Caenorhabditis elegans: one gene and its partners. The protein of the gene in region 2 interacts with the protein of the main gene of each other region in a pairwise test. Each region holds a gene or a part of one and is shown on either strand. Other genes may lie near its edges. The genes, in order: unc-98, hlh-11, dmd-8 and ztf-2.

What was found.
Region 1: the proteins of hlh-11 (region 2) and unc-98 interact in a two-hybrid assay, tested with the Caenorhabditis elegans proteins (one large-scale study listed by BioGRID).
Region 3: the proteins of hlh-11 (region 2) and dmd-8 interact in a two-hybrid assay, tested with the Caenorhabditis elegans proteins (one large-scale study listed by BioGRID).
Region 4: the proteins of hlh-11 (region 2) and ztf-2 interact in a two-hybrid assay, tested with the Caenorhabditis elegans proteins (one large-scale study listed by BioGRID).

What each region holds. Positions count from the first base shown.
Region 1 is NC_003284.9:7,569,231-7,577,528, reverse strand, and holds unc-98 (Zinc finger protein unc-98), read left to right. Parts: upstream 1-3,939; 5' UTR 3,940-3,954; coding exon 3,955-3,978; intron 3,979-4,026; coding exon 4,027-4,104; intron 4,105-4,194; coding exon 4,195-4,305; intron 4,306-4,535; coding exon 4,536-4,604; intron 4,605-5,152; coding exon of another isoform or gene 5,153-5,172; intron 5,173-5,393; coding exon 5,394-5,528; intron 5,529-5,570; coding exon 5,571-5,753; intron 5,754-6,556; coding exon 6,557-6,889; 3' UTR 6,890-7,155; downstream 7,156-8,298. Other genes in the region: pcyt-1 (Putative choline-phosphate cytidylyltransferase), read right to left, coding at 5,153-5,172; Apyrase apy-1, read left to right, coding at 7,809-7,919, 7,966-8,109, 8,226-8,290. UniProt on the Caenorhabditis elegans protein: Probable transcription factor required for muscle structure.
Region 2 is NC_003281.10:9,618,484-9,627,803, forward strand, and holds hlh-11 (Helix-loop-helix protein 11), read left to right. Parts: upstream 1-3,663; 5' UTR 3,664-3,719; intron 3,720-3,784; exon of another isoform or gene 3,785-3,927; intron 3,928-3,996; 5' UTR 3,997-4,014; coding exon 4,015-4,064; intron 4,065-5,017; coding exon 5,018-5,293; intron 5,294-5,341; coding exon of another isoform or gene 5,342-5,346; coding exon 5,347-5,570; intron 5,571-5,787; coding exon 5,788-6,207; intron 6,208-6,456; coding exon 6,457-6,652; intron 6,653-6,841; exon of another isoform or gene 6,842-6,990; intron 6,991-7,300; coding exon 7,301-7,430; 3' UTR 7,431-8,045; downstream 8,046-9,320. Other genes in the region: tbg-1 (Tubulin gamma chain), read right to left, coding at 8,194-8,508, 9,064-9,269. UniProt on the Caenorhabditis elegans protein: Transcriptional regulator. Component of a feedback loop involving atfs-1, atgl-1 and hlh-11.
Region 3 is NC_003283.11:332,337-338,864, forward strand, and holds dmd-8 (DM domain-containing protein), read right to left. Parts: upstream 4,115-6,528; 5' UTR 4,103-4,114; coding exon 3,967-4,102; intron 3,811-3,966; coding exon 3,638-3,810; intron 3,589-3,637; coding exon 3,070-3,588; intron 2,799-3,069; coding exon 2,517-2,798; 3' UTR 2,265-2,516; downstream 1-2,264.
Region 4 is NC_003279.8:7,288,356-7,294,918, forward strand, and holds ztf-2 (Zinc finger protein ztf-2), read left to right. Parts: upstream 1-2,916; coding exon 2,917-3,322; intron 3,323-3,486; coding exon 3,487-3,816; intron 3,817-3,869; coding exon 3,870-4,216; 3' UTR 4,217-4,597; downstream 4,598-6,563. Other genes in the region: srd-53 (Serpentine Receptor, class D (Delta)), read left to right, coding at 5,683-5,897, 5,954-6,050, 6,156-6,293, 6,339-6,563. UniProt on the Caenorhabditis elegans protein: Transcription factor. Represses gene expression, probably via binding to DNA consensus sequence 5'-[AT][CT]TTCC[AC][AG]-3' in promoter regions. May play a role in pharynx morphogenesis.

The DNA of each region.
Region 1 (8,298 bases), on a different chromosome or scaffold from region 2:
TCATTAAAGAAATTATGAGAAGGTCTAAGGAATTGAAATGTTTGTGTCTATTCTTGCCAGAAAATATAAATTTTGGCTTTCTGGTGCCTTTTAGATATTGGAAGTTTTATAAACATTTTTCTACATCCAGTTAACAGTGGAGTATCACCAGTAGGGACATTCTTAAAAAAACACTTCAATTGTGCAAAAATTACAAAATTTCATAGTGAAACCTTTCGAAAAAATATACAAAAGGTTTATTGAGAGTTACTGATATTGCTTTTTTTTGAGAAAACTATAGACTGCCGCATGTTCGAATCCCTACAATGGGGGAATATTAATATTTGTATTTGAAATTAATGTTGAAACATAAGTACTTACTTACTTACTTACTTAGTAGACTATAAAATACCAATGTAAAATTGTTTGATCGAAGACTACCAAAACAGTGGCAAGAAATTAGTAAAGATCATTTTAAAACAAAATAACAACTTTTCAACAACTTTTTGAAAATTTTACTTTGATATTGGATTAAACTGACACCTTATAAGTAGTTTTAACAACTTCCCTAGTGGTGCTACTTCACTTTTAACAAGTCTGTAGAATTTGGCACCTGACGCGGTCATTATGAATAAGATCGTGGCGAGACCCAAAAACAACGTGTGCCTTTTAATTGTTACGTCAAAGTTTTTTTAATTGATAAGTCAAAATTATGATAGCAGTTTCATTTGCATTTCTAAAAACTTATAAAAAAACACAAATTGTCAGATTAAAACTAAACTTAAATTCCACATCTTAAAAAGCACTTGTTATGAACGATAATTTTGGATAAACTTTATTTATTTACATAGGTATATAGTATTTATCTCATTAGTCTTGTTTGCCAAAGTGGTACTGTCATTGTTGTTATCAACAATACGCGTCAAAGAAAATTTTTGAAAAACTATTTTAAGTGATCATAGATTTCAAAGAATGGATGTGATATACCAATGATAAATACATTGATAACGTTTGGAAAACACTATTAATCATAACAACACATACTTCACCTTGTAAATTATTTTATTGCAGAGCCACCAAAGTTTCTTCAAATATATAAGATTCCGTTGGTTGACCCCAACTGCTCAAAAGTTTAATTGAAAAAAAACGGCAAGATAAATTTTTATTACACAACTTTTCTGATAGAAGTTTTGCTCCTAGTGTTAGGATTCTTGAACACCCATTACAACTCCAAACCCAACGGTACAAAGGTAAAAAACGAAAGTTAGTGAGGTGATTTGATTCATGCCATAATTGACGCAATAGATCTGTACTCTTAGAGGTTTCATTGACCCATCCATTATTGCTTGCCAAACGTTCTCTTATCTCATTTTCCCCTCAATCTGTCCACACTTTCTTCTCTTTGACACGAAAGAATTGAGGCCAACTGATAAAGATACAACTCAAAGAATCACTATACAAAAAGGTCATTCTTCGTGTTCATTTTTTCATGTTTCTCTCTACCATGAAAATATGACGTGCCGAGTCGGTGTAGTGCATTAAGAGCAAAAGTCAAGAGGAACCATTACAGAAAATGTTAGGGTGGTTTGCTGGGAGAGAAATTAGTTGTTTATGAGAAGAAGAGAAAAGAATGAAAAATGAGACTCTGGACTCTGGAACTACTCTGATTTCATAGCATTTGATAGCGGCCACCACTGCGGTAATGCACGTTTATTGGAAAAGATGGAATTCGGATTGAAAGTTTAATTTTCGGATTGGAAAACGATAAAGGTGATTTTAAAAAAATCATTTTCATAGTTATTCATCAACTTGAGACGGAAAGTTGGAATGTTTTCATTGACGGACTAGACAAAATATGTTGACTGTTACTTGGTAATAAAAATAGATAGAATTTGTCATTTGAATTTAAAAGTTATGAATTAAGGCATTTTATATCGAGTGTGATGGATTTCAGGTAATTCTCTGATAATAAACGCGAAGAAACCGGAAATATAGACATGGTGCGTTGTTCTAAATTCATATTCAAAATGTTCCTCTGCCCACAAAATGAAATTAATATTTGACACTAAAAACGAATGTAGTATTAAAAAAAGAACCAATAATTTGATCCTATAAAAACGTTTTAAAATGTACCAGTTTTTTTAAATTTTTATTTATTCGTTTATTAGCTTTTTACCCCTTGAAATTTATCAAGGGGTAAAAAGCTAATAAACGCTGCGAAGGCGGGGCGGGAACGTTTAACCGGTAATAATGTAGTTTTACTGTTCCATAAGGGAAGATACTTATGTAAGAAGTTTTTGTGAGGCCACAAGTACACAGTAAGTATGGAAATCTAGGAGGTCCGGCTTTTCTGACAAGAGAGGATTTTATAAAGTAGGGCTATTGGTTCGTGGTATAAACGTATTGACTCAAAATGTGCTGGAAAAAAAAAACAAATTTCGTAGTGAGTCGCTTGTTCTCTTTTAAAACTTTATATTTAGCCCGAGTAGTGAGACTGTTTCATATACCGTATTTCTTCTATTAGTCTTGCATGCAAGACTAATTTTCCATTGGTCTGTAGGGTTGCAAGACTATTAGAGGCTGCAAGACTAGTTTTCGAATGCCCCATCTTTGAAAAAATGACCTATTTTTTGTTGAAAACTTAACTCGATAGCTTGCTGAACGATAAAAATATATACTTTTGCAATATTTCATAAATTATTTGATCATTTTCTAGGTTATTTTCTCAAAAATATCAAATTTGCTGACGTTTCCGCAAAGTACTACTGGTCTTGAAAAAAGAGGGATGCAAGACTATTAGAGACTGCAAGACTAATAGAGGCTGCAAGACTAATAGAGGAAATACGGAAAACTGTTTTTTAATGAAAAAGGGTCTGGTTACTTTATACTTGTTAAAAATTTAACAATTAAATGCATTTTTGTTGTGTAAAATTTCAACATTGGTGCACTTTTAGCCCGCTTGTGATGCATGAAAGAAAGATCCGATCAATCCAGAAGGTGGTGCAGCTCCAGTAAAATGTTTATTCCAATTAAAAGTCATAAAAGTCCCACATAACCGTTTAGATTCTTGAGAATTTTCATTCAAAGTTGTGGTAAATTGCCACAACTAGAATAAGTTGAACCTATGAAAAATATTAGAGCAATTCTGCATTTTTTTAAATGTCTACAATATATGTATATACAAATGATCAAATCATAGTTAGAATATGAAACTTGTATGTAGAAAAAACTATTTTTGCCGTGTTCCAAGATTGTGATTTGTGAAAACTGAATGATAACTACCTTTTTGAAAGCAAAATTATTTTAGATTATTTATCACTGTATAAAGGAGTGATTACAAAAAATCACCCTGACCGATGCTTCACATTTAAAACAATAGCTTCATAATCCTGCATAGTTTCAAATAATAGTTTTACAGTATGTAATTTAATATTTTTACAATTCATATTGAATAATTTCTAAAATATAAACTTCGTTGATCCTTTTCGATTATTATTTCAAAAAAAAAGTACTCTTTCTTTTGTTTGTACCCACATCTCCAAATCATTTGCACGTGTTCAACGTACTACACAAAATGTATGTCACCCACAAACACTAGCATCTGTGCCATTCATTTCAGAAACATGATTCCGCTTTGAAGTTATGTCGAGCACTGCAATCTAGACGCTTTTTTTACTTGTGTCGTCAAGATCTCTTTCTTCTTTAAGACAGTTGAGCAAGATTGAGGGAGACTGCAGACACAGAAGTGTCCCGCAAAACATCCAACGAGGAAAGGAAATGAGAGAGCGGGAGCATTTCAAAAGAGCACATCAGATCCAGAGATTGCAGAGGCGATTTCTCGCATTTTTCGATCGCGACGAGTCTCTTGAGTTTACACTGTGTGTTGAGCACCCCAGCTAGCCACACCGAGCATTCTACCCTCTGACAATTTTCACCCCCATTCCGACGACTAACCGCTGATATCCAGATACAACAATGGATGACGACATCTTCAAAGAGGTATTGTTCTTGATCACTGTGAGCTTTACTTAAATTTGAATTTTTTAGGCAAGAAAGGAAAGAGATGACTTCGAAGAGTTGATGAATGCCTGTGATCTTGCCAAGATGTCCGTGAAGAACAATGAAGTGAGTTAGAGAAACCGAGAGATGACGGAAAAACCGGAGAAAAACGCGGGGGTGTCTGTATTGCGAAATGATTAAAAAAATACCTTCCAGATGGTTCATGGTCTAGAAACCTTCGGCATCAATGGAGAATCGTCAGAAAATGGAAATAAGGAAAAGCCCAAAGAGATCATGAAAGTTGTTGCCCCAACAGTTGAAGCATATGTGAGTTTGGTAAAATTTAAAAAAAAGAATTTCAGAGATTGAAATGTTTGATAGGTTTTAAGGCAAATTTTTTTAAATGTTTTTAAGATTGGATTCATACTGACATTTTTCAACCCTTGGATACAAGTGAAAAAATGTTGAATTATCTGAATAGTGTCTGAAAACGCTTAAATACTTTAAAACAGCGCCATCCTAATTTGATTTTAAAAGCATCAAGTAAATTATTGTAGGTCGGAAGTTCAAGTGCTCAAACTCCAACAAAATCGAGTGGCGGTGCTTTGGATGGCAGTGATCAACAGGTTTGTTTTATTGTTTTTATGAAGTGTGTGTTTTTGTGCATTTTTTGTTGAATAGTTCGTGCTTTGAATAATTTTTAATTAAAAAAACATTGATTAGGAATGTAGTCTATAGGTTTGTACAGGCAAAATTTCCGGAGAAAATGAAACTATATTTTTTGAGTTGTTTGAGAGAAATTGTTAATTTTTTGCTGAATTTTAGATAGTTTAGAAAAGGTTTTATTTTCTAATTTTATAATTAGCATACTAGTAAAAACTTATTTGCCAGAATACACAAAGACAAACTCAGTTCTAATTTAATTTAAATTTAGCCCATTGTCGAAGTAACCATGTCCTGTACATTTGTTGGAAGAGAAAGCTCAGCAGGATGCTAAGAAGAAAAAAAAACAAATTATGATTTTTGTTGTTTGTGATTTTATTTTTCTCTTATCATTTTCAAATACTAACTTGGAATATAATTTCTTGCTGCTCCTTATGCTTTTTTCCTTCAACCTATCCATTTCCATTCTTCTCCTTTCCCAAGCTAATTCACATGGGTATTGTTGACTTACTCTTGTTTGTGAATAAACATTTTGCTGTTGTTGTTGAAGTTGATGCGCTCACTTTCAGCACACGAACCAAATGTGCGGAATATAGATGTGAGCATTGACAGCTTGAATGTGAAAGAATGAGGGAAATGGGAATAAAAGGAAGAAAAATATAAGATGAAGGAAAAACTGAAGAAGGGAGGGAATGAAGAAGGCGTTAAATGAAAAAGAGACTCTTTTAGTCGATGAAAAGTGATTATTGCAGGAAGTGCGTCAGGACGGAACTAGTGTGCAAAAAGATGACAACGGATTTGTATTCTACAAGTGTCGTTTCTGCGGACTCACATTCAACTTCATGAACACTCTCCGTGCACACGAGAGAATACATGACGTTTCACAGGTTTTCATTCGCTGGATTACTTATAGAAACTCTTTGTTTCAGCCATATGTCTGTGGAAAATGCGGAGACTCATTTGAATTTGCTTGCCAACTGGAATATCATGCCGCTCAGCACTCAGAAATTGACGGGTACAAGTGTGAATGCGGAAGGACGTTCTTTTCTTACACGGAAATGTTATATCACAAGCACACGGACGATCCACTCGAATTGATAGGTGCTCCAGAGGTTTGTCTAATTGAGAAATCTGAGAAATAATAAATTTACTAGATTTTACTAATCAGTAGAGCTTTTTGAAACAAAATCTGAATTACGAACTTCTCGGAAAAAAATCAACAGAATCTAGCTATGGCTGTTTTAATGTTTGATTTTTTATTCTTCAGTTCTTTCGACTCAAAATCTATCAAAACCTTTTCATCCAGCCATTCGCTTTTCAATTTTGTATTTGGTTTTCATAGTCCTTGATGTGAGAAAATTGTGAACAAAAACTTTGTGTGTCTTGGCTTTCTGACGTAAAAAAAATATTTTTCTCAACAAAAAAAAATTGCTGATAGCCTGTGAGAGGGTGCAATTTGATACGACTGCACTTACTTCTTGCATCACAACTGTTAAACAGATGGAATTTCAGTGCAAAAAAAAGAAAACGTTATGAAACAGAAGTTATGAAACCGAAGAAAGTTCCAAATTTAAAAACATGTTTTGGTCGTTTACCTTACGTTGTTTTGTTAATGAAGATACGTTTCAAGCAATTAGGGACCAAAAATTACCACAATTTGCTACCTAAGTCTTTGTGACTGGGAAAAATTGAAACAACTCGAGTTTTTGACTGAAATTTGGGTATTGCCTTTTCAAAATTTTGAACCCCCATAAACAAGTTTTTAAGTAATTTTTGAGAAGTAGTATTTCAAATTTCGTTCGTTTGGTTTTGTTAAAAATCACACGGAAAAAAAGCCGAAACCGTTTTTTTACTTTAACAAGGAATACATTTGTGAGAAGAATGAAGATTACCAATATAATTTGAAATACTTCAGACAACCACAATAAAAGTAAGCAAGAAGCGAGTCCTACCGGTCTCCGAGCAAGATCTTCCACAGCCAGCTTTCGTTACTGAAGGATACGAGCCGAAGCATCCACTCCGAGTGTACAACGACGTTCGTTCAAAACCATACATTTGTGAATATTGTTCGAAAAGCTACTCTGACAGTCGTGGTCTTGCATATCACATGTACAGTCATCGTGGAGAGAAGTACTTCAATCCTCGAGCATCTCGTTATATGATGGGAAGGGAAGGAGTTGGGTACACTGATTCCAGAAGCTACTATTTATTCCCAAGAACAAGCGGATACGTGACTCCGCGATTCTGAGCAACCCCTGAGTATTTAAAATTTTTCTAATTTAGTATTTAAATCTATCCAGATCTTGTAAAATATATATATATTTCAACATCGGCTAGCTTTAACAATATTTGTCCTTCAAAATGTATATTCGATATGGTTCTTTCATATAACTCATATTTCTTTCTTTCAACTAAATCAACGTTTTTCTTTAGTGTTATCGTTTTCTCATTTCTTGTCATTTTGTCTTTTCCTCACATTTTTAAGACGCTCGTTATAAAGACGGTCAGCAGCAGAAACTCGTTTTGTGTTCAACATAAACTACAATTGACTACAAAGCACAAAAATCGTGTGTTTCCAACGCACTCAGACACACTCTATAAATACTGTTCTCGTCATGTCTTGTTGGTATTTTCTTCTTTCCCTGAAATATCGATTCCTGGTCAATCGTACAATTGGGACCATGTTAAGCGGGAAAGACATTGACCGCTAGCACAAATGTTGTCCGGCTCTCTCACAATCAATCTTTCTTCTGTGATGTGTTACGACAACCCACAACCGATTTTTTGATAGCAAAAATGATAAGATGATGATAGCGAGACAGCTCAATTGTTCGTTGTTCTAGAAGTTGTACGTTTTTTTAAATTTATTTTGCATCATTTTGAATTCATTATTTAAAAATGTATAAAATTGTTTAATTAACGGTTCTCGAAATATTTTGCCACTTCACAGCCACGATATCTCACTCAATAAAGCAAATGCAATTTGGGACACGCACTTGTGTTCGTTATTAATATCGAGTCCCCATTGAAAAAACTAGGCCACGCGGCCGTGAAGTACTCTCGGAAAACTACACCATTTTTTATTTTTTTATTCTACTTATATTTTCTCAAATCTCTTACTTTCAATTAATGCTTATAATTAAGACTCACAAAAATAATTTTTAGGTATGACACAAGAAAGTAACTCAAACTTTTTCAACTTCCTTCTTTTCGGGTTTGTGACCGCTATTGCCTTTTATTCGGGTACCCAATTCAACAAATCTAGCGAACAGGAAGAGGTAACTCTTTACATTTTCAGCTGATTGCGCACATATCCATTTACAGCACATCAACCATGCTAACTTGTATTCGGTAAAGAAGTTTGATGATGGAGCAAAAGAATACTCAATAATGTTGATCACCGATTTGGATCATGACAGCAAAGACGGGAAGAAGTGGAAAAGTTTGGTCTCTCGTGGATTTTTGAAGGTGAGAAGGACGGCAAGAAACTAATGCATTATGCTCAGCTTGACCAATATGATTTTTATAAAATGCAACTTGCTTTTTTCGAATCGCTATAGGAAATTTTCAAATTTATATTTCAGGTTTCTGCAGACCACAAGCATGCCGATATTCATTTTGACAAAGACTCGGAGTACTATGTTGACACGTAAGTTT
Region 2 (9,320 bases):
TATATAACTCTATTTCGGATCAAGTTACAGCAGCTGAGGTCCTCCTCAGACTTTCATAATTCATGTTTCATGCTTCGTATACTTTTTCCTGATCAATTTTTTACACAACAATAAATTGCAAAATGTAGGCATTTTTATGGAAAACATTTTCATATTAAACTTTGTTCCATGAAAACACCCAGTTTCAAAGTTGTGGTCTATTTAGAAATTCGATTCAAGAACTTGCCCGCCGGATGTCAGCAGCTTCAACTATTTTCAAAATAGAGTTTTATAAATTTGACATTAATATATATGTAGACCAGATAATTTGGAACATTTAGGTAGTTTAATGTATATTGCTAGCTATTATACATAGTTATTGAGTTATAAGTGTTTGAACAACTCAAGCACACCAGGCAATTAATTCATGGTGCATCACAAAAACGGCCATTCATAAGGCGCAAATTGCAAAAATTTTCGAGTCGCGGTGTATGCATCGTGCTTCCACAAAGCCAATACTGTGTAGTTCCTGATGGACATCTTGCAAATTATCTATGATCTAGTGACCAATATTCCCATCTGTTTGATTCGAACATCCTTCACCAATCCTCTTCCACATCCTGGCGCCAACTCAACCTCGAAGATCATCCGACCAAAAACACATGTCGATGGCATCCCGACCCCGTCGGTGCCCATCCACGTGCCCATCGTTTCTCTCGTTTCCTCCTCTCCGAAAGCCTGATGATCGTCGAACGAGTGCGTCAGAGACGCAGAGATATGTTCGGCGCTTCGCCTCCTTTTTTGCGACGAGAGCTACAGAGAAACGAAGAAATAGGAAAAGTATAGAGAAATTGTGAGATATAGAGAGATAGTGAACATGAGAGAGTAAGCAATAGAGAGAGAGAAGGAGGCGCCCGCTCCCTCAACCCCTAAGACCATTGAGGCGCTGCTGCTGGCCTTTAACATTTATGTGAGTGTGTGTGTGTGAGTGTGGTGTGTTTCTCGTCAGCTCCTTCTTCTCTTTTCCATCTCTTTTTTTTCCAATTTCTCCCTTTCTCATCTCAACCCCATGTTGCCTGTGTTGCTGCAGCAAACCGATCAGTCCACCACCACCACCGCTGTCTTCGTCGTCGTCGCCGCCGCGAAAAACTTTTTTCTCCCAAATGATTCGGAGCGTCGTCCCCCCCCAGCCCAGTCAGCCAGTCAGTCAGCCTGTGTATATGTCTATTTGTCTCGCAGTCTCTCTTCGCGCCCGGCTCCCCCATCTCTCGTCCCGCCGACGAACGTATTTCGATCGTCTCGTTTTTTCGGTTGTGTACCCCAATATCTAAATCTAGTCGCGATTGAACACCTGACCTATTCTGTCAAATCACACACACCCTTGCGTCTGTGACGACATTTATTTGCAACATGTTTCATATTGAATTCCATATGGTAAGAGTTCCATTTTTTTGATCAACAAGTTTCCTCTTGTTTGGAAAAATCTATGAAAAAGTTAATAATATTAATATAGTACCCATTATTACGAGTATTCAGGTGAACCCTCTTTCCATTTGACCTCCAAAAATTGCGGGAGTAGAAAACAGTAAGTCCCCACAATTTTAGAGGGGGTCTACCTCTATGATCTTACTGTACTCGACCATCATATCGTTCTTCCTAGATTTCTGATTTTCTGCCTCAAGTTTGTTATGATTCCATATGTTGTTATGTTTCTTTTTATCTTTTAGCTTTCTTTGTCTTCCCCCCGATAAATTATTTTATCTCTTATCTCACTCACTGTCTGGCTCGCGCCTACCGTATCATCGGAAACGAGCGTTTACGTTTGCCCCTTCGCTAGACAAGGTCTCGAAACGAAACGAGACGCGAACTGCAAACTTTTCTCCGTCTGTTTCTCCGTTGCGTCCAAATCTTCTTAAATCACTCTCTCCCTCTCTCACTCCACTCACAGCTGTTTGTGACCCCAACCAACAAAACTGGGGGCCGCGCCATCAGGTGTTTTCCCCATCCATCCATCTGTCTCTAATTCTCAGGATCCCTTCAGAAAATGTTTCTTGGATCGGTTGATGGGGAAGATCGCAACAAAATCCCTTAACCTTTATTTTGAATGATAACAGATCATTACCGTCCGAATAGTTCTCGATGTCGTTTTGTTCAGTGTCTTTCTCTTTTACTACGCCTTTGAACTGATCTCTTTGCCGATTTTGGTGATGTTTTGTGATCTTATAAGAACTATAGTGAGTATGACTATGAAAAATTGTTCCCAACCTTTAACGCGGTTTCAACTAAATCTTGACCAAGTTTTTCCGAAGTTTTGCCAAAACTATGGACGAACTTTATATGTATGTTATACACAAAAATTTAGGCAGGAAATTGCCTCCAAAAATTGAGAAATCTTCCTCTGAAATCTCCAATATTTTCACGATTAGACTCTATTAACCTATGTTCTATTAAGTATTTCATAAATCTACTACCAAATGTTTTCTAACTTTAGATACTTTGCGTGTTGCTCTATGTGCCCAGCTGTTCTCCCATAAATGCCAAACTTGACCAACTAGATCATCCCGTACACTTGCACACTACAGCTGATCAAACTTTTGTTTCTTTTTTAGTTTTATGATTATTATGTGAGAAGTAACTAACTTTTCGTAATTACCAAGAATTCTTAAACTAACTGGTCAACTGCTTTTTGTTGACTTGTCAATGGGTTCCAGGGAGCCCTCATTGTAAAAAACATATGGTAAGTGCAATTGGCTATCGTCTATAAGCTCAAGGAAGTTGGAACCAATTTTTTGTTGATATTTTTTTCTGTTTTGTCTTCTCCATTCCGTTTGAGAATCAGTTTGTGTGTTCATCGCTCTCTCGTTTCTCCGATAAATCGCTAATCAACATTTTTTCTCGGTTTTTTAAGAAAGTAGAAAGATCAAAACATCAAGAGCTCATATTTCATTTCTTGGGGTGAAATCTTGAAATCTAGCCTTAAATTCTTTTTTTTTTCTTTCTTTTTTTTTTTTTAAGACCGATTTATTCTTGGTTCTTCATATTTTATCAAGAGAGAATCTGAGCAAGTCCGTTTGTAACTTTTGAAAGACGTTTTGTGATTCTGCAAATTTATAGAGAACTGATTGTTATTAAAACATGGACTCTGTCGGCTTCACGAGATAAGCTCATCGTCAGTTAAAAATAATTTCATTACAAGAAACTTTCGGTTTCTAATTCCAATTTTGGCAATGTTCTGATGTTTCGATTACTCCCAAACTCTGATCATTCAAATTAGTATCATGAAACATTTTAAGTAAAAGTTGTTGCATTAAACACCTGAAAATGGATCACCTGTTCTTTCCCTCTCATTTTTTCAATTATAAACCCTTCAGTTTTTCTATTTTCTATACATTTAAAACCTATTTCATCTGCTACACTGAAACTGCCCTCTTCCTCACGCCTTTTTCATTTAATTTACATATACATTGGTACCTACCGTATGAAATAGACGAACTGCCCGATTTTGAATTATAAGTCGGTGTGTTTCGACCCTCGATTGCTTCCTCTTTCCCCTCATGTGTCTGTGTAAAACATGCCATATGACACACTGACAAACTCTTTTTTTTTTCGATCTTTCCCCTTCAAGAATTTTCGTGAAGCATCAGCTGTTGGTTTTTTGTCGCAAATAATTCCAATTTTGTAAAGTTTCAGGTAATCCAGACGGCTCCCATCGTCCCTTCGTAGTCTCCGTAGTACTAACAGTAAGTATTTATTTCTTATTTCAAATAATTCGTGGTATAATCATTGTTATCTTTGCCCCCAAGTGTTGCTTATCACAAAGATTTTCAGCTGGGAAAAGAGCCTATCTTCTTTGATTCTACAAAGAAAATGGCATGTCAGCCAGTCAGCCAACATAGTGGGGGAAAGGTGATAAGAGTTACGGGTTTCGGGAAACTTTTGTCGGAAAAAGAGAGAATAAGGAACAAATAGAATTTCAATTCGAGAACCTCAAAAATCAAAAAAGAAAATTTTTTTCAGGTAGATCAATAGTAGAAAATGGTTCGTTCGGATAGCGCAGAAGAAGATCAAATCATCATTGATGATGGGTAAGGATTTTTGTACTACATTTTTTGCTCATGGTTTTAAGAAGAAACATTCGAAAAGTAATGTATTGACATAAGTCTAAGCCGAGTTTTGCTTATAATCATAATATGGTTGAATTCCCGCCTTCTAGGCGACTAGGCAGGCGGTCTGAAGACGTGCCTGCCTACTATATATATATATATATCCAGGATCAGACTCTCATTTGATGAAAGTATTAAAATCTGAAAATAATTCGAAAATAAACTTTTTTTGCTCCCTCTAAACCTATCAAGTTTCCAAGTGAAGTGTTAAGTCTACAGTAACTTTTCAATAAATAAAATTCAAATAATTTCCCATGGCTTTCAATTCGTTCTCAGTGACACGCAACAAGAACACCTGGCTTTTAGAGAAAAACACAATATAGAGACGCAGATGAACTTTTCCTCAATTCTAAAACTGCATGTGGCAATTTGTACTAATAATTTCTCATAATTTTTGGAACAGAAATATTGAGATGTTAAATTGAAGCTAATTTATCCCATTTTCTTTCTTTTTTTTTGTGGAATCGTGGCATTTATTGAATTGATAGGTTCTAATTGTAGATGAAAAGATCAATATAAAAATCAGAACAACTAAAGCTAGAGTTATTTTAATATTAGTTCAAATGTTACCCATTGTCGGCAAAGTTCAAATTTAAGGTCTAAAATGTGTTTTATCACTTTTGGAATTTTTTTTTAAAATGCATTTATAATAATTTAAAACGACTTTGTGAATTTCCAATTTTTAAAAAATATGTTTTTTCTCTATCCTCAAAGGAGTACTGTACTGTAGTTGTAGAATAGAAAAATATGAAGATATTCACGAAAAAGCTTGCGTCTTGAGAAGGCATTAATTGGAAAGTTGAAGTTAATTGGCCCCAAATTATTTGATAAATTTCGCTTCTTGAACAACCTCATCTACGAACACATTTTTGCAGATTTGATCTAACTGAAGAGGACGAGGAGATGATGAGTTCGGGTACAGGTGCATTGCCCGTGACTATCGCCGACTGGAATTCCGTGACAAATGCACGAATGGCACCACCATCCATCATGTCAGCTGCTTCGGCATTTGATTTGACGGCTTCTGGAATGCAGAATTCGTTGCGTTCTGTCTTGCCTACCTCGACGATTGGGCATGCACCAATGCTCGCCAACCGGTCACTATCCCAACCGGCGCCACTTTCACCAACGTCGCTCGACCCCGACAGAAGGTTAGTTTTATAGCACTGAAAGGTGGTGAGTACTGTAACTTTATATAGTATAGATCCAGAATGCGTCGGCAAATTGCCAATTGCAACGAGCGGCGGCGGATGCAGAGCATCAATGCGGGATTCTTGGCTCTAAGAGCCTTACTTCCCAGAAAAGAGGGAGAAAAGCTGTCGAAGGCGGCTATTCTGCAGCAAACTGCGGATATGGTTCATCAACTTTTGGGACACAAAGGAGAAGATATACCTGACGGTGGAGAACCCAAAAAACTCAAACTTGAAGGTAAGTTTATATCTTATTGATATTTTTGAAAAGTGGAGTAGGATGAATGGAAACTGTGTTTCAACAAAAATCTGGATAATCTGAAATTCTGAAATTCCACAAAATAATTCCAGCCTAGAATGGCCTGAAGAAGTCTAAATCTTACTGAATCGTGCCTACCCTAAATCAGTTCAAACTTGAAATTAATATAAGCTGTTCAAATTAAATTTTGTTTCAGAAGATCACCACGACGCTGACCATCAAGCGCAAATAGCACATCTCCAAACAATATTAGAAACTGAACGAGCCGCCCGTAAGGCTTTGGAGAGTCAAGTAATTCAGCTCCGTGAGCTGCTCCAAATGACGACAACATCATCGCAAGCATCGTCACCAGTGACACCAAGATCTAATGGTTCTGGTGGTTTCACATTGCCATCTTCATATGCTTCATCGGCTCTTCCTACTCCGTTACGAGAATCACCGGAAAGGAAACCATCATTTCAAGATACAACAAGTACTCCGTTGTCTCTTTTGACACTGAACGGTAGTCCAACTTCTTCTGAATCATTGGCGTCTCAACGTATATTCCATCCGCCTCCAACATTGCCAAGTTTAGAGACAACTGTTATCCGTCCTACACCACTACCACCAATATCAGGTAATTTTTGGAAAGATATATTCAAAATTAGTTTCAAAAAGATTGAATGTCCAAACAAAACACTATGAAACGTTTGAGATGTTTCAAAATTTCCAGGCAATATTTTGGTAAATTACCAAATTTTTTTTTTGGAAAATTTGGTCTTTTGGGAAATTTAGAGTATTAAGGCCTAATGCATGGTAGCATTTTTTGAAGCCCTGGAATATTCAAATAAAACTTTTTGACTATAAATATATATAAACATTTAAGTTGAAATATCATCACCATCTCTGTCAACTCCATCACCTTTGACTGCCGCTCCAATAATCTTCTCAACAGCAGTTCCAACTCAATCGAGTATTTTGTTCCAAACAGCGGCGGCAGCGGTCACCTCGGCCATGTCTACCGGTAACTCGACACCCGTCGCATTGCCACATCATCTGCAGGGACATAATTCTGCGTTTGTGTGAGTTCTGTATATTTTATGGGGGAAAAATTATGAATTCAGTTTTCTGTTTTGAGAGAAGAAGGCTGTATGTGGAATGATCTACTTTCAAAATTCAATTTCTGAATTCAAATCTTCGTTATAAATTTAATTTTTAAATTTATTTTATGCTGATTATTAAATTTCAATTAAATCTTTTTTATAATATACTCTATACAGTCAAAAAAAATGTTGTGGTTACTGTAGGTTGCAATATTGCTATTATGAGGTCGTAGAAAAATCCCCCTTGTAAAATCGAGGACCGCCCCCAACAGCTGGGTCTCGTTAGGTATTGGGGGGCCAAACCAGTAATTCAAACTTTTTCTATTAGTTTCGCCAATGTTTGAACATTTTGCGTCTTTCTGGGTACGTATGCCAAATTGATTTTAAAAAAACTTTCCAATAAAAACAACCATTTTTCCAATAAAAACAACGAAAGACGAAAAACGACGAAAAACTCCTGAAAATTGGTACAATTATTTAATGACAAACGTTTGAATTCACGGATTTGCCGCCAAATACCTAACGAGACCCAGCTATGGAGGGCGGAGATTTTCTACGTCTGCATAATAGTTCTCGAGCAAACTTTTCGAATTTTTAAAAAAATTAATATGTTGCCATCAATTCCAGAAGCACACAACCGAGCCTGACCCTGTCTCAATCAATGCAAACAATTGTTGAAGCTATTCGTCATTTGGAGGGAAGTCATTTCATTCCAACATCTCCTCCACCAACCTCACAGACATCGCTCGTCCGTTGAGCCTGACTTTTGACAAATGTAGAGTTACAATTACAAATACAATTATCAAATTTTCCACGTTTCATAATCTCTCTCTCTTTCTCTTTTTCTCTCTTTCTTTCTTCAGGTTGATCCTGTTTTTTGCTCTTCATCTTTTTTCTCTCTCTCACCAGGCACAGTATCTATCATTTTTATCACAAAATTTGATGAATTTTTGTTCTTTTCCCATTTTTCTTCTTGTTTTAGGTATACTACTTGTTGTGTTTCTATGAAATGTTTTTTTCCAAAATTTTTTGTGCCGATTGTGGTCTTCTTGTCATTTTTCTTCTAATCAATCTAGCTTCCTTATTTCCCGCGCTCTCACGGACCTATCCATTGTTTCGTTCTCCCCACCGATAACTTTTTGTTTTTTCATTTTCCTTTTTTTCCAGTCTTGTTCATCTCCAGACACTGCCCCGTTACTTTTACACAAATCGTGTCGATTTCCTCTTTTTTTCATTTTTCACCCGGTGGTTTTGTTGACCGTATGTGCAGCTTGAAACACTTTCATTTTCAGACCTCAATATGTCTCTCTATTGCTATCGCGCAATAATCATAACTAAATAATTTAAATAAACCTCAATAGTACAACCACTGAGACAAGAGTACCAATATTTATGTGAAAATTATGATGATGATGAGGAGCACATGATATAAATAATACAATAAACACAGCATATGATAATCGACAGAGATCCGTTTTAAGAAGTGAATGAGAATCCCGCGAGAATAAATAATAATAAATCTAAAGCCCTCTTGTCAGATAGTCCTTTTGTACGACCGCCTTGTACTCGTCCAGCAAGTCTTGCACAATGTGCATTGCATCGTCCATCATATCCAGCGAGAAATTGTCAATCTTTTCAAACTTGTCGATGAAGGCTCTCTTTGATCGTAGTTTGTCGTATTTGGAGAGAAGCGATTCGAATAACGGAGCCACGCTTGTGCTGTTATTGAGCAAGAGTCCAGATACTTTGTATTGTGGCCGAACATATGGAGAGAGTGGAGCATGCATCATTCGAAGTGGTTTAAGCATGTAGAATGGAGGCCTTCTGATTGCGAACTGAAATTTGATTTTATTGATTTGATGCTTTAAGGTGGATTATAGAAAAATAACGAAAAAAAGTCATTATTAATCACTAATTTTGTCTTTAAAATAGTGATTTTATTGGTGCATTTTTGATTTTCTGACTAATGTGTTATTTGAATTGCCACGCTTTTGTCAAATTTCCAAGTTTCTAAAAATTTTTTACTTCATGTCAAAAATACTTTTTAAAAAAGTTTGCTTCACAATTGCTGATTCGTCAAAATAAGCGCTCATTTTTGCAATGTAATTTGAAGATTTTTTTCGTTTGCAGTATCTCGGTATTTGTGACCGCCTTCGTGTTTTGAGAATAAAATCTACATCTCCAAAATTAGCTTACGAAAATTTTTCGTTTTTCCGATATCTCGAAAAATATTTTTTAAAGTTGCTTATTTTTATTTTTAGAAAATATTTATATGCTTTCTTATAGTTTTCATGAACATAAACAAAATTTGATAAAAATTGAATTTTATGGTTGATTTAGTAAATTTATTTTTCAATTTTCCCGGAAATTCTTTAAAGTATTGAGCTTACATCAACGTTTTGCTCAGCAGTCATAATTGTATGTGCCTCAATTTGTCCTTGAAGGAACATGTAAGCTGATAGCATGCAGTCATTTGGCCGAACCCGAGAAGCAGTTGAAACCATCATTGAAGTTGGTTTTAACAAGAAGCGAGTGACGTCAGCGACTGAAGTTTTTCGGGTAAAGTTCTCATTTGGATCGACAACAGGAGAGATAGCTGCAAAAAACAAAATAAATAGATAAAATAACATATTTCGGAATAAAAACA
Region 3 (6,528 bases), on a different chromosome or scaffold from region 2:
CTGGAATGAAAAAAAATAATTTTTGAATTCAAAGATGTTCTATCAAAAAAATATTGGTTCAAAATGTTTGAATTAATTCAATTTTTAAAACAAAAAAAATCGAAAAAAAGGCGATTTCATAAAAATCAAAAGTAAATAGACTCTGCTTCTTCTCGTCATATCAAAAACTGCCAAAAAATCAATAAACTGGCTCCTACCCATGACCAAACTACACAAAGCAAACAAGGGTCCTTTAAGGGGGTACCTACAGGTATCATATAACATAGATATGCATATGATCTTGGAAAAATGCGGAGCCAACTCTCCTGAAAATATGCTTGAAACAAGCCAACACCTTTTTGATGAGAAGCCTCTCCGCCCGCCCTTTGTGCTCCACACTGTGTTCCCTTATCAAACCGTGCCTTTGTGTTTACAATTTGTGAGAAACTTTTGAAACTTTTTTTGCCGCCTTACTTGGGCAAATAGAGGAAATAATTCGATTTGATTTCACAATTTTCCTGTTATCAAACTGTGGTCTGGGGATGTGAGTCAATTATTGAACGGTGCAAAAATCACAAAACGGTCACAAATTGCTCGTTATTTTTTTCGTGATTTGCTAATTTCAAAAGTGGCACAGAAAGTTCTATTATCAAATTATTTTCAGTTTTTCTCGATAAAAAAACAACTTGTGTTCCGTATAGGCCTAGTTGTCAGCCTGCAAGCCGGCCTTCGTCTGACGCAACTTTCAGATAGGCGCCAATACAAGATCGTATATGTTTTAAAAGTTTCATGAAAAATATTCATTACTGCAAAAGGTTCAAAATACATTGCCTACCAACCTACCTACCAACCTGAAATTCCAAAGCAGGCACCGGCAGGAAAGTAGGCTGGTTGAAAAGCTGGTAACTGGTAGAAAAATAACAGATTTTCGGAAATATTTCTTACATTTCTTATTTTTATTAATTCTTAAAATATAAATATTTTTTGAAAATTTAAAAATAAGTCAAAAATAAATATTTTGAGCATCCGTCTATCTTTTTTATACCTAATTTTAAAACCGTGACAATAATGTCAATTTGTCCGGAAAAAATTGACATTTTCCAAAATTTTGATAGGAAAAAACCCGCATTTTGTGTGAAAAATTCCATAATCAACAATTTTCGATAAGGATACATAGAGAAGAAGGGAAATTTTATAACACCAAAAAACAAATTTGCAGAACCTGAGCATTTGGCGTGCTAGCCTAAGATTGCCTACTGCCACCACACCCTGAAGGCGCGTAGGTAGGCAGGCACGCAGGCATGATGTCGTGGCGAGCACCGAACAATAAAAAACCAAAGTAAATCCAATTAAAGTTACTCAAACGTAATTTATTTTATACTACCTGACTTCCTCACGTCATCTCAAAAATCACAAGCTCTATGTGATTCTCAAAACCGGCATTCCATTTTTCTTTTACGAAGACGATACTAAAAACATTTTTTATTGATAAAGCTGATAAGAAACTTATGAAATCACTAGTACCGGCTCGAGTCGTTAACAAGAACATTTTCTCGGGTGACTCAGGATTCAGGTTGGGCACTGAAACATTGATAAGCAATAGAATTTGATATGACGTCTCGAGGGCACGATCGTGACATGACTTCTTTCTTTATTTGTGATTTGTGAAGACAACGAGAACTTCTAGGAAGCAGCCGACACTTTACAGTTCGCTTTTTATAAGAGATTTTTTGAAGAGATACAAAAAAACAGGTCATGTTAACCGAAACAAAATTTCTAATTTTTTAAAGATTTATTTTAAATTTTTCAAAAATTGAAAAAAATCTGATTGTGAGATTTCACTGGTAAATGAATTTTTCGGCCATTTTTTTCAAATTTTCAACCATTGTCATTAAAGGAAACTTGACAGGCCGAAAGGAATTGGGTGAAACTCTAAAACTGGCCTGAACTTAACATTAATTTTTTTGCTGTAAAATGCATGCAAATTTGACAGATCACGTCTCAAATAAAAAATCAAAAAAAGTGAAACTGCTCAATTTAGCCGGAAAGCTTATTTTTGGAATAGCAAAATTTGAAAAAAAATTACAAAAAATTCTACAAAATATATATTTGAATTTTAACATTTAGTTTTTTTTTAATATATGGGATTGCTTCCTGACGTTTTATGCAAAAAAGGCCGTGAAATTTCTAAATCCAAGCTTAATTCCAGATATGGTGGCTGAAAATTCGGAAAATTCTCTGTAAAAACCGTGACTTTATAATTCAATTTCTAGTCGAGTCATAAATTGATAAGAGTACAATTTTATTAATTTATCACTTTTGCAGAATCAAAAAAAAGTTTTTGGAAATATAAAACACAAAAACATCAAAATATTATTATCATCATGTTTGAACTGAAAACCCGCACAGCTTAAAATTTCGATGGGGTTTTTACTCTTTTTGAGGTGCAACTGGGAAGGAACTAGAGTTTTACAGGGAAAAGACAATAAATCACAGATTGGAAATTGTTTTTTTTTTTGAAAAATTAAAAAGAAAAATCAATCGGTTTCAGCGCAGCTAATTGCAGCGCTAAGCTCACGGATATTCTGAAAATTTTGAAAGTTCTGGAACAACATTTGCATTCCGATAGGGGTCATCAGGAGAGGATTCGGGAAAAGAGTTGGAGCAGCTCCGTACATAAGCGGAGCCGTGAAAAATGGTGAGGCCGCGGTGGACATGAGAGAGGGTACGGTAAGAAATGAAAGCGGTAGGCTTGATGGAGCAAGTTGTGGAAGAGCAATTGGTGAATGCGGAAGGAGAAGCGGCATTGGAGATGTTGTCTGAAAAAAATTTAATTTAGAAATTTTAGAAATTCTGGAAAAAACCTTTTAGAGCAGTTTTTAGGACGAGACTAGTGCATGCCTACATGCCTACATACCTACATGCCTACATGCCTACATGCCTACATGCCTACATGCCTACATGCCTACATGCCTACATGCCTACAGGTTTACATACATACATGCCTACATGCCTACATGCCTACATGCCCACATGCCTTTTCAGGTTCAAGCTGTACCTGAAAAAATTTTCAGAAAATCTGAACCTCACCTCAAATGGAGAACCAGCCGGACTAGTGCTTGCATTTGCCGAAGTCGCTGCAGGAATCATAAATCCCCCGGCACTGAAGTCGAATTTCATCTGAACCTGCGGAGCCATGTTCAACTTCTCTGATAGCATTCCAGATAGCGAGCAATCCGAGGATGAAGCCGACTCGTCCGAATTGCAGCCCGAAGAAGATGAGAGTGACGATGATGAAGCCGTGGTGGAGCCCTCTTTTTTGGGACTTTTCGGTGCGATAGCTTCAACCGTGTTGCCCTTTATGCTCATTTTTCGCTTCTTAATATGCCGGTCCAGGGCACGACGGGAATCAATCAAGTTACACTGTTGGCATTCGCAGCTGGAATATTGGCACTCCTTTTTGTGATTTTTCTTCCAGACGAGCACATTGTGATTCTTGCATTTTTGGCAGAAATAGCACATGTTCATGTTCTCCATGACAGCTTTTTCATCTGCCTCCCCACCTGTGAAGCCTGGGAACACGTTGGCCTCGCTGATATCATTGGTACGCTGAAACACGGGGATAGTTAGGAAAATTAGGAAAAAAATCACAAGGTACCTGGAACTTCTTGTCTTGCTCTCGTCGGAGACGAATCTGAGTTGACATGATCTCCCGTCGCTTACGGACCAAGTCACACTGCTCACACTCGCAACTTCTATATTCGCAGGTGTGCCCGCGCGTCTCTACGAAAACTCCATGCTGCTTGCACATTCCACAGTGCCGTTTCACATCTGAAAATTTAACAAAAAATAAAACTATGTTAGGCGTAGGCCATACTAATTTCTGAAAAAAAATCAGCAGCCGACAGTTAACCAACCATACATTTTTCTACTGACCCTTTCTCGTGAAACCAATTAACTGTCGGCTGCTAAGAAGCTATAGCTCACCTTTCGGGATCCTTTTCCCTTGGCTGAAAAATCTCTGTGCTCCAACATCCGGGGAGAGGCTGTTGTTTGGTGAAAGCCCTTCTGGAGCACTGAGCGATGAGGCATTTGAAGAAGATGACAGGGAAGATGAGGACATGATCAGGTAAGTCTGAAATTTTCCATTTTTCAAGAGTTGGAAAAGTTGAAGCACAAAATGAAATTGTGAGGGCTACAAGATAAGGGATGCTTGAGCTTGATGACCTGATTGGCTGAAATTTTATAGACACTGCGTCAATGGAATATTTACAGTACTTTCAGTCACTTGTCTGAAAAAAAATCTTGTGACATGTTTTACTAGTCGCCTGATAAGGCCCTGGGGGCTATATAGACGATGCTTTCAGAGAAATTTTCAGGGAAAGCATAAGCAAAACAGGAAGTTGTAGAGGCTTGGGCGCGTGACCGAAGTTTTTCTAGTTTTCTTCGGCCACCAAAAATTTCCCTTATCTACAGTAACCTAGCTCCCCTTGGAGCAAAAAAGCTATCGAAATGAATTCACAAATGAAATGGAATCGAAATAAATAAATAAAATTTCATCCGCCTTTCCCATCTTCAATCCAGGAATGAAAGATTTTCTGTATCTGCCGGCTCCGCCTCTTTCTTGAATATCCCTGATTGCTGTCTAACCATGTCTAACGTCTCCGCCATCCCTCCCCACTCATTCGAGAAAATTCGCCGTAAACATTCTATTTTGGCTCTGCGGAGCTATGACGGAATTCTCATGTCGATGGGGGAAATTACGTAGATTCGCAGTTTGCGTAGATAAGGAGGGGCAATCCGGTCGGGGTTTTACGCGGATCAGTATGGAGCAACTGAGCAGTTGGACTAAAAGCCGATTTATTTCATTTTGTTCACAAAAAGGTGGTGCTCATCTCGTTTTGAAAACACTCGAATTTTTTAAAACTTGAAAAACTTGCTGGCCGACGCCTATGACATATGCCTATGACCTCCACCTATGGCCAACGCCTATGGCCTACGCCTACTGCCTACGCCTATGACCCACGCCTACTGCCTACGCCTATGACCTACACTTATGGCTAATGGCCTACGCCTATGGTCTACGCCTACGAAACCTTGGAAAATTCAAAGTTGAGCAAGCTGAAAATCATTGCAAAATGTTTCATAACAACCACAAAAAAACACTAAAACTAAAAAGATTTTCAGAAGTTTCAACAAATCGGATGACAAATTGTGTCGAAAATCAATCGCTCAGAGTGGTTTCAAATTTTGTGTGGAAAATATAAGAAAATCTGTAGCGGATTTTGACGATTGCTAATCTTTTTCTCGCATTGCTTAGCCCTTGTGTTTGAATTATTAGGCGATTTAAATCCATTTCTGTGATTGCCTTTATCATGCTTTTTTTGTTTTGAATGATTTTTTTTCTTTTTCTAAATAATGGAATAATTTTTTAAAATGTTTTTTCTAAACAATGAAATTCGATCTAAATTTGAAAAGGAGCCTGGCAAGCAAGCCCGAAAGCCTCGTTCACCGACTCCAATGCACCAAATTTTACACGCAAGGTTAAAAAAAAATTCTGTACCGTCCTCGATCACTGTCGGCTGCACAAAAAAAACATTTTTTCCAGTAAAAAAAATGTTTAAAAAAACTATACTAAAACATGTAGGAACTAGTTGTTTTATACTAGTTTATGCTCATTTGGGAAATGCTCATTTCTGATCGACAAGTTTTGTTTTTTTGCCACCGTCTAGACGCTCTACCGTAATCTTTGAAGAATTCTTGCTCCCACCGGGGAAATCTATATTTTGTCACGTGGAATAGGGGTAATAGGAAAACATAGAATGCAACAAGATTTCTTGGAGGTAGGTAGAAAGCCTGAAAAAAATCAACCCATAAGAAAAATTCTTGGAAAAAATTAATGAAGTTACATTTTTTTATTTTCCAAAAAAAACCTGCACTCCTAAAAATAACCATACCTAGTGACATTGGTTTTGACACCAATAACGTCAAAATTCAATCTGCTTATCATTTTTGATAGCTCCAAGCCACGTTGTTCGAAAGTACCTGGATAAGCACCGGCTTGACTCGGTCAAGTCAAATTTTTGCGTCACTGGATAAGATGGTTCAAAATGCGATGCTGGCCAATGCTATTCATAAAAATTTCAAAAGTTTTGAGAGATCACTGGTTTTCCTGAGTTTTCATGTAGAAGATGCAGTCGGGCCAGCTAAGAAATTGTTAAAAACCACTCCTATTGTGTAAAATGACAAAATACCAAAATAAAAATTTTCAAAACAATTTTAAAAAAATTTATGGACAGTCAAAAAAAGCAATTATTGAGTTTTGCCCCATATATTTGACTCATAAGTAGACTAAAAAAGCTCGAAGAAATTTATTTTTACTTTTAAAATTTGATTTTCGAAAAAGTGGCAAAAATTGTGATATTGCCAGTTTTCAAAAAAACAACTCTATATTTAATTTTTTTTAACATTTAAAAACATACATATTGTTTTTAGAAATTTTTTCTAACTTTAGACTTATATGTATTATATGTACACGTTTCTGATCGC
Region 4 (6,563 bases), on a different chromosome or scaffold from region 2:
TTTTTTTCCAAATTAAAAGAAAAACTACGCCTTCCCAAGTATTCAATAATCTATTTGTTGCCAATGTGTTCTGATAATTTACAGTGAATTGTATAATTACAAGATTCAACTTTTTTAAACACCATTTTTTTTGGTAGATGAGAAAAGGTGATCGTTCAAAAATTTCGGTCAGGGTTTTTGTGAAATAGTGCAGTATACTCTCATCAATTTGTCAATTTGAAACTTGACATGGCTCATACGCTCCACAAAGGGACCTTCAATTTTTTTCAGGGATTTCCCGATAGTTATTTGTGATTAGATCTTTGAAATCTGAAAATTCAATCGGAAAAATTTGATTTCAAGAAAAAATGAAGCCGCATCATTCATTTTATTGTGATCCGCAGGCAGGTGACAACAAATAAATAATTAATCATAATTTTATGATTATGTTCCCTGTTTTCATTTCTTTTAAAATTTATAAGCAGCTGGAAATGTAAGAAAGAATGCTCGGAGAGCAAACTAAATGATTGTTATTTGTTTTTTTTTTTGACCACAAAGATGTTTACCAGTAACTACATATGATAAGTAACTACATAATCTGACCCTAAAACTTAAGTTTTTCAAAGAAAAACGAAACATTTCTAATTATAAAAGTTAATATTACTACTCAAAACGGATAGGACTAGTTTTATGTATTTGCATTTTCGTGTTAGCGAGAACTAAAATAAGTTGTACTTTTAATAGACTTTCAACAAATGCTTAACTACTCTTAAAGAATTGAGCTTAAATTGAAATCAAATGAAAACTATTTGTTGAATCACTACAGGCAATTTCCGAATAAGTCTAAAATTTAGTTAAAAATCTTTTTAATCCTCTAGAATAAAATTTTTCTGACATTCTAATATTTATGATCATGAACGTTGTCTATTGCTCTTTGATTTTTTTGAGGCGTTCTTCACATTCTAGTGCAGACGAAACGGAGCCAATTCTCAAACTTTAGAGTCTCTCTGAAATAAATGAAAAAATTGATGAAAAAACGACTACCATCTCCCTTAATTGTTCAATTTTTGAACGAGAGGCAATTTGTCTGAAAATCTGGAAAAAAAAAGTATTTGCATCAATTGCCCTTTTGTTGCCATTCGTGAAACTTGCACACTCAGCAGCAAGTGATTCCTCCAGCCCACACGTTTTCGGCGCAAAAGTGTAAGTGATAAGAGCTTCAACTGGTACCTCCTGGAACCGAGGAGCTGACAGTGCTGCTCTTTTTGGCAGAAACTAGCGAATGAGCACAAATGCACTTTTACTTTATCTAGGTTACTATAACCGATGCTTCTTCTATTACCTTTACTTCCTCCATTTTACTCCTAAAAACTGCTTGTCATGTGTTTGAACTGTGCGGGGCCGCCTTGAGGTCCTTTCCGACCATTCTGTACCAGGTTGTTCCTATTTGGATTTCCTCGAAGAAGTTGAGGGCGCGAGAAAAAACCGAATGGCTGCAGGAGACGCCGCGGCGATGGTGGTGGTTACGCAAACTGTGCTTGAGCAAACATGTGCCTGAATTGAAAAAGAGAAGAAGACGATGACGATTAGGAACAAGAAGGCATTGAAGACGTTGAAGAAGGTCATCTTTGAAATTATGTTCAAATATGTTTTGGTTCTAGTTACCCTAGATTTCAAAAATACTTGAAGTACTCTAGAAACCCGAGTTGATATTTGTAAGGTTTATGTTAAACTCTACGTCATATTTTGAGTAACTGCCTACCGTAGTTTTTACACTTATTTGAAAAGAAAAAAGCACCTAGCTACTTTTGTAAGTTCATATTCATTTTAGGGCTAACTTACCTGTGCCTGGTAAAAGCCCACAAGACGTCTAGAATTACTATTGCAGTCTTTTCAAATACGTTCTTTTCTGGAATGGTTCTTGTTGCCCTGGATTTCAAAAATTCTCTAGAAATCCGAGTTGGCAATTTCATGCTCGGAAAGTGCACTTTTTTTCGAAAGATGATCGCTCTCAATAATTAACCTTCATAATACACATCATACTCTTCTTTTTTGCATTCACTTACAGTAAGCACTAGATATCTCGGAATACTCTAGTTGGGTTTGAAAATCTCCACGGTCCCTTTTCTATTTTTCTAGCCGTCCCCTATATCCACCTACAGTAGCCTTTGCGCCTGTACCTCTGCAGCACTATGCCTAACTGGGAGCAGGTGAGCCAATACCAAATAACTTTCCCAAAACTCTTTCTCCTCCCATCAACGGTCATCCGATCTCAATATGGCCACGTCATGCTCCAACTTCACGTACGCTTTGGCTCAAAACGAGTTCACTGACCGAACTGTTTGTCCAACCAAAACCTTGTGGCCGAGCGCAAGAAAGAGTTGTGTGTTGCTGATATTTTGTAAAAAGTAAACGTATCCTCTTCCTCCTACTGCTGTTGCTGTGAAAGTCAGTCAGCCCCGGAAGTGAACAGTTCGCTGATGCGACGACCTCCCACCCTTCGGCCTCCTCCTCTTTTTCCCCCAACAAAACTTGTGTCAACATACTGTGGTAGGAGCGAAAAGGTACCGCGCGCCCCATCCGCATTTTGCCATATCCATTCCTTCCCGAATCGGCGCTTGCTTCCTGGTGACCCTTCCCTTATCTTGGAGCAACTTTCACTTTTTCCACTTCTTATCTCCAATTCTCTCGTCTTTCTAGACAAAATAGATATCAGAATGTTCCTCCAGTTCCAAGTACATTGATACTTTTTCTTTCTCCAAATTTTCCCACACCTTCTTTTCATTACTTTTTCTCATTCGTGGTCTACTCTTTCTTATTTTTGATCTCGGTTCAATATTAGAATCTGCAAACTTAACAACTGAAAAAATAACATTTCTAAACTTACTATAACATTTCCACTTTTTAATTGCATTCTTTAAATTTCGTAAATTTAAGATGAATTGTGAATCGTTGCTCACTGCCCTTGACGTATCCACTCTACTCTCAACTCTTTCCTCACCTGAAAAAGAACATCGTCGTAAAAGACGACGTGGTGAAGTAGCCAATCCATCAAACACTCTTGATGCTCTTGTTGCTCGCAAAGCCGACGATCAACCATTTGAAAAGAGATATCTAAGTGAACAAGAAGCAATTGAAGGACCAGATGATGAGATTGAAATGAAAAAAATGGAATTGGATCCTGATGTATCTACACGCACCTGCTCTACCTGTGGTTACCAAGGAAAATGGGTGTCTGAGATGATTCGTCATAAGAGAGTTCATACCAGTGAAAGACCATTCAAGTGTCGTTATTGCTCCAGAACCAGCAAGTGGAAGGCTGACCTTATTCGACATGTTGCAAGTGAGTTCATATTACTTTTCTATTACTTTAGGTATTTGAATTCGCTTTAAACCTTTTGTAATTCTGTCAGATTTGAAGTTTGGCAGCTTAGAACAATTTTTGAAATGTAATCAATTAGCTTCTGCTATACCTGAAAATGTATTCTCCAACCTCAATAATTTCAGAAACTCATGGAATCCGTGTTGTCTCCAAATACAGCCGTTCGAAAGTCTTCGATGCCACCAACAGTTCAATGGATTCTTCGTGTTCTTCAGACTCTGATCGATGCATAATTTCTGAAAAGAGAACAGTGTTCTATCGTTGCCAATTGTGCTCATTTGAAGATGAAAGAGTATCTGTATTGAACAGTCATGTAAGCCATCTTCACAACACCTCCCCATGTGTTTGTCGATGTGGCGCTAAATTTGAAGATGTCCAAGGAGCACTTGCTCATTCCAATGGTCCATGCTCCCATGTTGATATGATTTACAACGTTATGCCAACTTATGAGAAAGGTAAACCATAATTTTAAATAGTTTAATTTCATGATTTAAATTCCTTTTTTCAGCATCTCCATTATCCCCGTGCAGAAGCGAATCCTCATCAGACAGCGGAATTCAGACAGATCCTGAAGAAGAAGCATCGATTATTACATCATCCCTACCAACTCCTCAACTTGGATCATCACCTCTTCTGTTGTCACCAACACTTCCAGTCACTCCATCTTTCCTTCCAGACATTCAATCAGCTCTGCTGAGCCTTCAGCCAAATCCATTAATGTCATTATACTTGGCATCTCTCCTACAATCTTCCTTGTTGAATAGTCCAACTATTCCAACATCTTTTCCACAAATCATCCCAACTACGATACTTACACCTTCTCAACAAGATGAGATGGTTGACGTTGAGATGTAATTCTTAAGATCTTGAATCCATAATCTCAAAATTTATAATTAAAACAATTTATCACTTCTTTACTTGAATATCTCAGGTTCATATACTCGAACCAATATATTTTCTGTTCTACTTAGCCAATCACGCACACAAACCCCAAAAAAACCCCAAATCTTAGGTATCTACTCACATACGAATCTCGTCTCAACTCTCAGCTTCCTGGTGAATTCATATTTTCTTTGCTAATTTTATTTTCCTTATCTGTTTCTACTATACGAGTCATGTTTCTATCACACATCCCTCCATATTTCTCTATCACATTTTTCACCGATTTCTCTTTTTTTCGGGATTGTTCTTATTTATATCGTTACGAATATTTGGAAATATACGCTTGTTTAAAAAAGTATTATCACCACTGCATAAACTCATATTTTAAGCGATATTATTGATTTGTATTTGCTCGGCATTTAGTGCCTCCTTTCTCCCACCTTTTGAGGTCTTCTCACCTTCCGCCCACCTTTTTGCCACCTGCTCCCCACCTTTTGTAAAAATATCACAATTATTCAACAAATACTCGAAATTCAGTCGCGTTTGCCACCTTTCTCCCACCTATTGTGGTCTAAAACAGCAGCGGCAGCGTTCTGGTGACACCAAAACATGTATTTGTGATTTACAACAAAAAATCTCGATAAATAATTTTGAAAACAATAATTCTTACATTTCAAAATCTGCCTACACCAGACCTGGGAAACGCTTATTTTTCCTACCTCATTACTGCCAGTTCACTAACTTGCTTCTTATCTGGCCTGCCTACATACCTTCTTTGTTCCTGTCACGTCCGATTTTCCTTGGTTCGTCTAATTTCTTATTTTATCTAATTTATAAAACTGAATGTTTTTCTACCCGTCGATCAAAGCATTTCAAACACATAAACTATATTTCCGAAGTTATTCCATACATATAAGGCTTTTGTTTGATTCGATTTTTTTTAGGTGGCATTATTGAGGTTCGGATGTTAAACTATTCCTAAATCACGCCCACGTCTGAAATCTCCAATTTTATATTAGTATTATTTAATTATTTTGATCAACTTCACAGATCCATCCCGTCAAAACAACAAAATTTCGCTCATCAACTCATAGAACAGGCAGTGGCTATATCAGTAATGTATATTCTCAGAAGCAAGAACAAAATTTCACGGTTCACCGCTTTTTCTAGATTAATGTATACGTGAGTTTCACATGCTCCCATTTATAATTTCAAATTCTAGCACTGAACTATTAGATTCAAAATGTGCTTTAGTTGAATATCAATAATTTCTATCTAGGTACCAGCTATCATATGATAAGGTCCTTTGGGAAAAGAACACGAGAGCTCCGCCTGATATTTTGCTCATTTTATCATTATCGTGACAGACACGGAAGAAGTCATTTAAACCATTTTTCATTCTTGCTCTAAAATTCTTCTAAAGAAGCTCAACTTTTACCATGGATCTTTTTGGTTCAAGTTCGAATCGTTTTGTTCCAATAATCAACATCTACTTTCATTTCTACCTTGTTTCCGGTTTATTTTTTCAATGTATTCTGATGATTCTTATCATTCGAAAGTCTCCCAACAGCTTGAATGACCTCAAACTGTTTCTATACAACACGGCGTTTTGTCAGATTGCAAACATTCTTTCTGCTTATTTTATTCAATATAGGTTAAATAGTTTTTTATTGTTGAATGTCAGACCAATATTTACTTTTCTTGTTTCAGGGCGTTACCCAACACAACAACTCTAGCGGTTCTGGCAAATGGGCTGTGTAGGAAATTCGGACCGGAAGTCTGTTTTGGAACTTATCATGTTTATTTGGTGTGTTTGAAAAAATAACCTCTAAAGTTGCAATTAAAAAACATTCACTCACTATCAGCTCACTATCAGACACAATATATTTTTAACCAATTTTTTCTTATTTAGGGTATCAGCTCAAGTGTAGCTCTTTCCATTTCAACAACCGTTATGTTTCGATATTCTCTAATAAAAAACTGGCGTTTAAGCAGAACATCATTACGTGGATTGATTATATGTGGACATATTGCGCCGTTCATTGCTACAGTAAGACACTATTTTGTGCTCTTGTGCCCCATTACACAATTTCAGGCCATTCCTTTCACGACGCAATGGGATTTTGACGTTGTTCGTGCACAATCAGTGAAAGAGCATTCAACATATGATCTTTCTATTTATGCTCCATTTTCTGGATTTTCTGATACAAGATCTTTCCAATTCTTGTTTGTCACTGCGGCAATTGCTATTGGAGCATACTTTGTCCCTTTAATGTCGGTTTTTGTTATTCGGAAAATTATGATAGTGACCAAAGCTCAT